2 linked regions of the Caenorhabditis elegans genome follow. The protein of the gene in region 1 interacts with the protein of each later gene in a pairwise test. Each region holds a gene or a part of one and is shown on either strand. Other genes may lie near its edges.

Region 1 (3,930 bases):
AAGAAAAATTGAAGATCGTGTGAGACATACCAGTAACAAAACCAGTAACAAAATGTTTCAAAATACAAATTATACATTAGTTTTCGAGAGTGATCGTTTTGGTGACTTCTGTAAAGTAACTGTCCTCTTTTGTTGTCACAATGAATTGGGTTTGCTTCTGACGTGAGAGGTATGGCTCAATCTGAAAGCACCACGTTAACTTTAGGCAATTTGATAAGAAACTGTTACAGCCGACGACACAACTTTTTAAAAATCAGTCTCAAGTTTCCGTTTATTTTTTCAGCTTGACAAAACTTTGAGAATACATTGCACTGAACGAAATACAGTTGTTTTTTTTTGCATTCAGATGTATATTGATAAATGATTGAACGAGATATGTACTAACCTTTTTACTTGCTTCATGGTACAAATTCCTGTCGATATCGTCGATGACAACAAGTGGCGAAGGTTTCCACTCATGGATAGCAAAAATGAGAGCCAAATCAACAATCATTCTGGACCCACCGTGAAACGTTCGAGTTGAAATGTGCTCACTGTGGCGTTCCTTCACAAATGCGTCAATTGCCAAGTAGGGCTCTTCCTCGTCCAATGGTCTAAGAAAAGCGAGAGAATCCTCGTCCTGCGCGATTTCAGCGTAAATTCTGCTCAGTGACGTTTGTAAAGGTGCCATAAAGTTGTTGAAACGTGCACTTCGCATGACTCTCAGCTGAAAATTTACAAAATAATGTGGTATTGTACTTCAGTAGCCATGCCACTTAAAGTTTTGATATGGTCTTGTAGATTTTTACACTCACTTTTTCCCAATTTAAACGTGCCTCTGATTCAATGTTCAGAGCCAATGTATGTTTCGTAGTTGCTTCCTTGATTCTCATGTTTATGTTATCGATATTTGCGTCATCCTTGATATTATTCTCGTCCAACCAACATTGACGAATTTTTTTGATTTCTTTTTCAAGCATAGAGCGTTTATAGCTAGTAGCTATAATATCGTCACTTTCCTGCAAACTCATTGGGTAATATATTTTAAATTTCAATGCATTACAAACCTTCTTATAGTACTCTGGCAATTCAGTGTAGTCAATTTCTCTTGCATAGATATTTGGGCCTGAAAACGATAGATAAATAAAAAATAGTTAATAACAAACATGTTCACCTTCTTCAGAAAACCGAATGTTCATGTTTGGATGATTCACAGCAAATTGAAGAAGCTCCCGACGTTCTGTCACTTTTTCATTCAAATAACTGTTCAGCTTGTCCACCGTAATCAAATTGTCGTAATGATTGTGAGTCTTTGGTCGGACAACAATCGCATTGTTTTTAAAGTTTGGTGATGGAGTTTGTTTCGGAATTGCTTCTGAGTATCTTGAAATTCTTAATGGCATCTTTGCATTCTGGAAAAAATAAAAGCATTGAAGGTTTTTTTCACAATTTTATTTGTACACTTCTACTTTATAAATTAACAAAAAACAAACCTTTGCGTTCACTTTTAACTGCTCTGCGACAAACTTCTCCTTGGTTTCCTGGATTTCTTTATCACATAAATACAGCTTGTAAAGCGTCAAGGTGATAAACTTTTCTTTTTCTAGTTCAATGCTATCAATCATTTTTGCCCACCGGAGAACAGTACTCTCCGCAAAATTCAATTTCGCTTTTAGCTCATCGTATTCTGGTTTGAACTCAATGGAGTTGGAAACTATGTCGAAAAATGCTCCAAGTTCTTCTGCACTTTTGCGGGTGACTTTTAGTGTTGTTTTGTTGTAGACAGATATATTTTGACCAGCAAATCTGAAATTCATTTTTCCAAGTTCCAATAAATATTCTTCTTCTGTGACGTATTTATTGAAGATCATGTAGGTGTATGTAGTTTTCAGTCCAATTCTCGTAAATCTTTTCGTTGATCCATCTGGCATTTCGAACTTCAAACTCACGACGCATCGAATGTTGTAGTCATAGAATAGGTGCTGTAAAATAATTTTTTTCTCGATTTTCATAATGTTATGCTAACCTCGTTGTGCGGATTTTTGGGATCAGGTAAGTCTTCGCCAAATACAAAGGCAATAGCTTCTATCATAATCGATTTTCCACACCCATTCATTCCAATAAAAGTTGTCACATGGTCAAATGGCCCGAAGCTTTTGTGGTGTTGGTAACATTTGAAATTTAGAATGTCAACTGTTAGTAGTCGTTGCTGCGGGTACGTCATGTCTGCAATTAAACAAATTTAAAAAAAGCGGTCAGAATCAACATCAAATTGTGATAAATAACATTTTTAAAACAAGAAAATTGAAGACAAAAAAGACAAAAAAAAACAAACGCAAATAGTTAATTCAAAAAAAATAGCAGACAATGATGAGCACGTCTTGTATTCTTAGGCCACGGCCACAAGTGCAGCGAGGGAGAAACCCTGCATTCGTATGGGTGCTGGTTTTCTCTGCGTCTATCTGCAAAACAAAAACTATCGACACTGTTGTAGAAATGGCCAAAATCGTGTAAAAAGCAGTTGAACGGGAAAGAAATGATTTGCCGAGTATGTATTTAAATCAGAAAATGTACTTCATGCTCTCCGTCTCAGAAATGGAATTGAACCGACAATATTTATATCTATAGTCTTTAGTATTATCTAGCAAACAATAACAAAAAAGTATTATTATTATGAATATTAAAAAAGAACGAAAGTGTGGTAAACTGCCTTTATTATACTAATCACATTGAAATAGCTTGGGACTTCGGATTTAAGAAAGACGAGTATGGTCGGGAATGTTCGTGAAGGAATTTTCGTCAGGCTTTATATTTTGTAAATGTATCAACATTGTAATAGATACACGTAAAAAAAGACATTAGATATCTGGCATGCTGAAAGTTGTGGTGTGTTTAGTGAAGTAACTGTCGTTGTGGGTGGTTACAATGTATTGAGTATTGTCCTGGCCGGTGAGATACGAACAGACCTGAAATTTGTTTAATTAAACAGTGAATTTATCTTTAGATGAGCCGTAGCTTCTGTTTTTTGACCAACCTTATTGCTTGTCGTTTCCGACATTCTTTTGTCAATGTCATCAACCACGAGGAGTGGTGAAGGCGTTTGCACATTTTTCAAATAAGCCGTTTGCTCGTGAAGTGCAAGAACAAGAGCCAGATTAGCAACGATTCCTCTTGATCCGCCGCGGTGGAAGCGAGTTGGCTCGAGATCTTCATTTATTCCTCCGACAAACAGATCAACATTCATACGGTTCATCCTCATTGGATGACGCAAGTGAAACGGTGGAATCCGGATCCTCAGAAATCTCTCTATAGATTCTGCTCACAGACGATGATACTGCAGCAAGGCGTTGATTGAAATGAGTACGGCGACTGGCTTTGACCTGAAATGAAACAATGTCTTCAAAAAACCAAGGTAATTCTATACACAGGTACAGAGAAATTCATAAAAATTTAAACAGAAAAAAACATTAAATAAACCTGTTCAATTTCGGCTTCTAGCTCAGTTGTGCGTAACTTTGCTATGTTAATAAAGCTGTCCGTCTCGTGGAATCTTATTAAAATATTACTCATATCCGGATACTCTGCTCCATTGACAGCAACCCATTCGTTACGAGTTGCCTGGATCGTTTCCTCCAAAGTACGCAGATGCATCTTAACTGTTTCAGCATCGTTGCTTTCCTGAAATTGAATAATTTTCTTCAAATGGCGGCAAATTTTCTTACCTTCTTCAACTCATCTGGTAAGGAGGAATAATCCGGTTTGACGTCGTAGGAAAACGTACCTAAATATTGAAGTAAATCCATGCTATTTGAAACTGTATTCAGAGTCACATACCTGCTTCTTTGGCAGGAATATCAAGATCCTGTAAAGTGACATTTGCAATGATTTTTCGACGTTGTGCACGTTGTTGGACGAGTCGATTTTCTAGTTCGATGACAATAGCCGGTTTTT
Region 2 (3,930 bases), on another chromosome or scaffold:
GAATTATAACGCCAACTCCGTAAAGATTAATATAACCTCGTAGGAAAAAACGTCAAAAAGGATGGGAATCGTTCGTTTAGATTGGGAGCTCCATACCCTTACGGGTTTGGACGACACGGGTGACGTAAAGATAGAAGAAATCGGCGTAGAGAACAGTTTGTACAATTCCGGCAACAACGACAATTGGATCGAAATAGTCCTCGGTGTAGTAGCGGTAAATCCAGTTGAAAATGTAGAGAGCGCGGTAGGAGCCAAGAGCGAACAAGTAGTGAGCAGTGATGACCTGGAAGAAGAAACGATGAATATGGGAGAGAGATAGAAGGCTCAATTTGTGGCCTGGTGTCTGCGTCTCTACACCAAAATGTCTAATCCAAAAGAAATTAAGAAAAAAAGATGTCGAGTGTTTGCAAACAACACAGTAAAACTTATGAAAAGAATGGATTAACTTTCAGTCAAATTTCATCAGGTTGTTATATTAGCAAAGTTAAAAGGCTGACGAATCAATTTGGACTACAGCGGAGATGTGCGCGAAATTCGGAATACGGGGAAAACGGTTGGAATCGGGAGAAACGACAATTTCTAAGCACAACAATTTTCTTGTACTATCTCCAATTTTGCCATCTCTGGATTTTACACTTTTTTACGGCATGTCGAATTGAGAGGGAAAATTTTGCACGCTGAAGTCAAATTTGGCGCATTTATTGTATTATTTATTATTTTCCAGATTTACCTCAGCGGAACCGGTAGACTGGAGAAGGAAGAGTTGTGGAAGAATGGCCACAGCCTCCAAATAGATCGAAAAAGTCCAGAGCAACTCAAATGGAGCGAAATCGTGATTGATGAGAAGAGCGAGGATCGCAGCTGGGACGATGAGAAGCTCGACACGGAAGGTATCCGACTCGCGCATGTAAGTTGAGCGGAATTTGAAGAACATCAGATACACTGTGGCGTACGTAGCGGCGAGGAAGGTGATCTGAAATTTGATTGTATTTATAATTGTTACGGACAGAAAGTTACCTTCATTGTAGTGTTATACAAAGAAATGTATGTGGAGAAAAGATCCAAGTATCGAGCAGTGAACACGAGAGCGAACAGAATCTGCGACCGCGCAGAGATTCCGGAGCACGATCTGCTCTTCCAGATTTTGAGCAGAAGGATGATAATCGCAAGCAAGTGCGACATATCTGCCGATATACGGAAGATGTTCATGATGACCCTAAAAATTATCATACTTTGAGAATTTAGATACATACATCAGGTAAAGAAAAGAAAACGCAAATATGAAATGAATTGGAAAACACCTATTCATTCCAGTGAATGGGTATGTTTTCAATTATCGAGGTCAACGTTGTTTATCAAAAGATAACGGATAGAGTGATAGGGAACAGAGAAAATTATATTATATGGACGGTAAAGTTCCGGAGAACGAACAGAAATGGTTTAGAGTTTTCCTTTCGCAGACAAAAAAGAGTGCAATAAAAGCCAGCACTGAATGTGCCACGTGGGAATTTTGAAAAATGCAAATACAACGCAACGAAGCTAAAAAGGTTTACTGAAAAAAACTAAAAAATGGAACTTAAAACATAAAGACAAAATTTTTAAACATTGAATGCAAAAACTACGTGTATTTACAGTTAAAAAACACATAACCCTGCATTCAACAAAAAAACAAACATTTCGATTCGCTAGGTAAAATGCATGGAAATATTCTATGAAAACTAGAATGTTTGAATAGAGCATTTTGTTCGAACGTTCTGAATACCGAATGTTTTTTTTTTGTTTTCGAAAGACCTAGATTTTCTAAAATTGTAGGCCTACATGAACTTTTCAACCATTTTTTGGTATTCACATAATGCGTAGCTACATATTAATCAATTATCGCAAAAAATTTAAACTGTTTAATTGAAAAACGAAACGTTTTAGGCCGGAAACGAAGAAGAAAACTCGAGCCAAAAGGTCCATCAGCCAACGAGTCCACGCTGGACAATACGCAATTTCGCGTGTTGGTGTTTGCGTACATCGGCAGCTGTCCAATTTATCGATCAGTGTTCATTCATTCTCTTGTTTTTTTTGTTTGTTCACACCGGGCGCCCGATTTCTTGAGCTATCAAAATGTTTAAAAATAATCCAAGACAGCTAATCTTACAGACAATGATCTCGGAAAACGGATATATGGACCTGATGCGGAACTGCATTAAATGGAATTCCCGGCAAATGGAGGATCGTAAAAAACGGTTAGTTATTGATGTTTCGGCTACTTAAAAAAGATCCATTTGAAATCTGAATAATCTAAGTAATGATAAATCTTTAGAGCATTTAGGAATTATTTTTTGGTTGTACTAAGCCCCTAAAAGTTGCAGACTGCGGTTCCCATACTATGAACATCAAACGGCTACGGCCCAGCGAGAGTCTCGCTTCACAACCCGCAACGTGGATCACATGTATCCATCAAATGATCCAAATACTGTTGTTCAATTCGCAACCGAGAGATGGAAGAAGAGCAAGTCACAGCCACCATCTGATGCTGTTGAGATGAGCATGTTTTTGCGTGAGAATCCGTCTATTCAGGTTGCAATTGATCATCTCACTCCACAAGTTGTCGGACCAACAACTGGTGAGAAGCATCAGAACGATTCAACCTAATTTTTGTAGTTCGATTTGCAGAAAGTGTTTCTGATAGTTCGAACGACTCAACTACCATCAGACCATCCCGCCAAACACAGATCAAAGAGGAATATCGTGATGACTACGTTCTTGACGATGAGCTCTCTCCAGACGAGTTTGGCTCCGATGAAGATGATTGGTCGTCGCGTAAACGCCGTAAAGGCAACTTGGGGCCTGTTCAGAAAGCAACTTCGTCACGTAAAAAGGTTTCTTTATTTATTCAATTGTTTAAATAATTTTATTCTGACTGTTTAGGTACCAACAACTCGTTCCTCTGTCTCTCGATTGACCCCATCTCGTTCCATAGTGAAGGAAACAAAATATGAAGAACCGGAGGAGAAGACGTATCCATGTGACAGTGAGTGGTTGTACGGCGGATTAGCGAAGCCCTCTCGCCCAGGAGAACACACCATTCTTCTTGTCCTTTTTAGTCTTATTTGCCTCCCCCATCGCCCACAGCATGTCAGTTACCGGGAACACTATCATCATGATTTTTAGTTTAATTTTTCGTATCTTGATTCATTCGGTTTCGAGATTTTTCAAAAAATTAGGATGCTTGGAAATTGCACGAGATTATTTATGTTTTTGCATGCTTTAGTTTTTTTTTTAATTATGCATGTTTCTCCAGAGATCCAAGGAAAATTAAATCAAAAAAATGGGAAATTTGGTCTAAAAAATAAATTTTGGAAGATTATGTATGATCTTTTTTTAATATTAGTTTCATAATTAGTGGTGTGATTTGTAGTACTTCTTCACATAATTGTGGATCTTATCAAATGTATTAGCTTCCTTCCTCTCGTTATCAATTTGCACTAAGTCATAAGCCAATATGTATCCTGAATATCCCATTCTTATATCCCTCCTAGTATTTTATCCCTCTGTAAAAGAAACCTGGGCGAGAGGGACCTCAGTAAAAAATCCTGCGGCAACCGCTCAACTGATCAAAAATACATCTCTCCCACCCGGGACACGGGGTCTATCGAGAGGAAGTTTGTAGAAATATAGGCACTAAATTTAGCATGTACTGAGTGTTCCTGGAAGCTTATATGATGTGGCATAATGGGAAATCTGTGATTTGAAAATACTCTTTTCAAACCGCATATTTCCCAAGTCCTTTCGTTTGTAATTTAAAATTTTTGATAATTTTCAGAATGCAGCGCGAAATACAAAAGCCTCGCGGGTTTAAGCTATCATCAGTCGTATCTTCATGATCAAAAGTCTAGTCAACCACTGGTTAAGTGTAAGTTTTTTGCATTCCAAGCTATT

Evidence for each region.
Region 2: the proteins of smcl-1 (region 1) and dpff-1 interact in a two-hybrid assay, tested with the Caenorhabditis elegans proteins (one large-scale study listed by BioGRID).

The regions. Positions count from the first base shown.
Region 1 is NC_003284.9:11,691,739-11,695,668, reverse strand, and holds the start of smcl-1 (Structural maintenance of chromosomes-like protein 1), read right to left. Parts: upstream 2,206-3,930; 5' UTR 2,204-2,205; coding exon 2,006-2,203; intron 1,962-2,005; coding exon 1,473-1,961; intron 1,418-1,472; exon of another isoform or gene 1,392-1,417; coding exon 1,154-1,391; intron 1,106-1,153; coding exon 1,047-1,105; intron 1,014-1,046; exon of another isoform or gene 999-1,013; coding exon 795-998; intron 707-794; coding exon 386-706; intron 182-385; coding exon 77-181; 3' UTR 1-76. Other genes in the region: C44C10.5 (DUF4456 domain-containing protein), read right to left, coding at 3,213-3,359, 3,457-3,657, 3,702-3,760, 3,814-3,930.
Region 2 is NC_003281.10:5,904,337-5,908,266, reverse strand, and holds the start of dpff-1 (Zinc finger protein dpff-1), read left to right. Parts: upstream 1-2,144; 5' UTR 2,145-2,151; coding exon 2,152-2,234; intron 2,235-2,360; coding exon 2,361-2,614; intron 2,615-2,652; coding exon of another isoform or gene 2,653-2,664; coding exon 2,665-2,870; intron 2,871-2,919; coding exon 2,920-3,022; intron 3,023-3,814; coding exon 3,815-3,904; intron 3,905-3,930. Other genes in the region: ER lumen protein-retaining receptor erd-2.2, read right to left, coding at 77-283, 731-973, 1,018-1,209. UniProt on the Caenorhabditis elegans protein: Probable transcription factor, involved in meiosis and stress protection.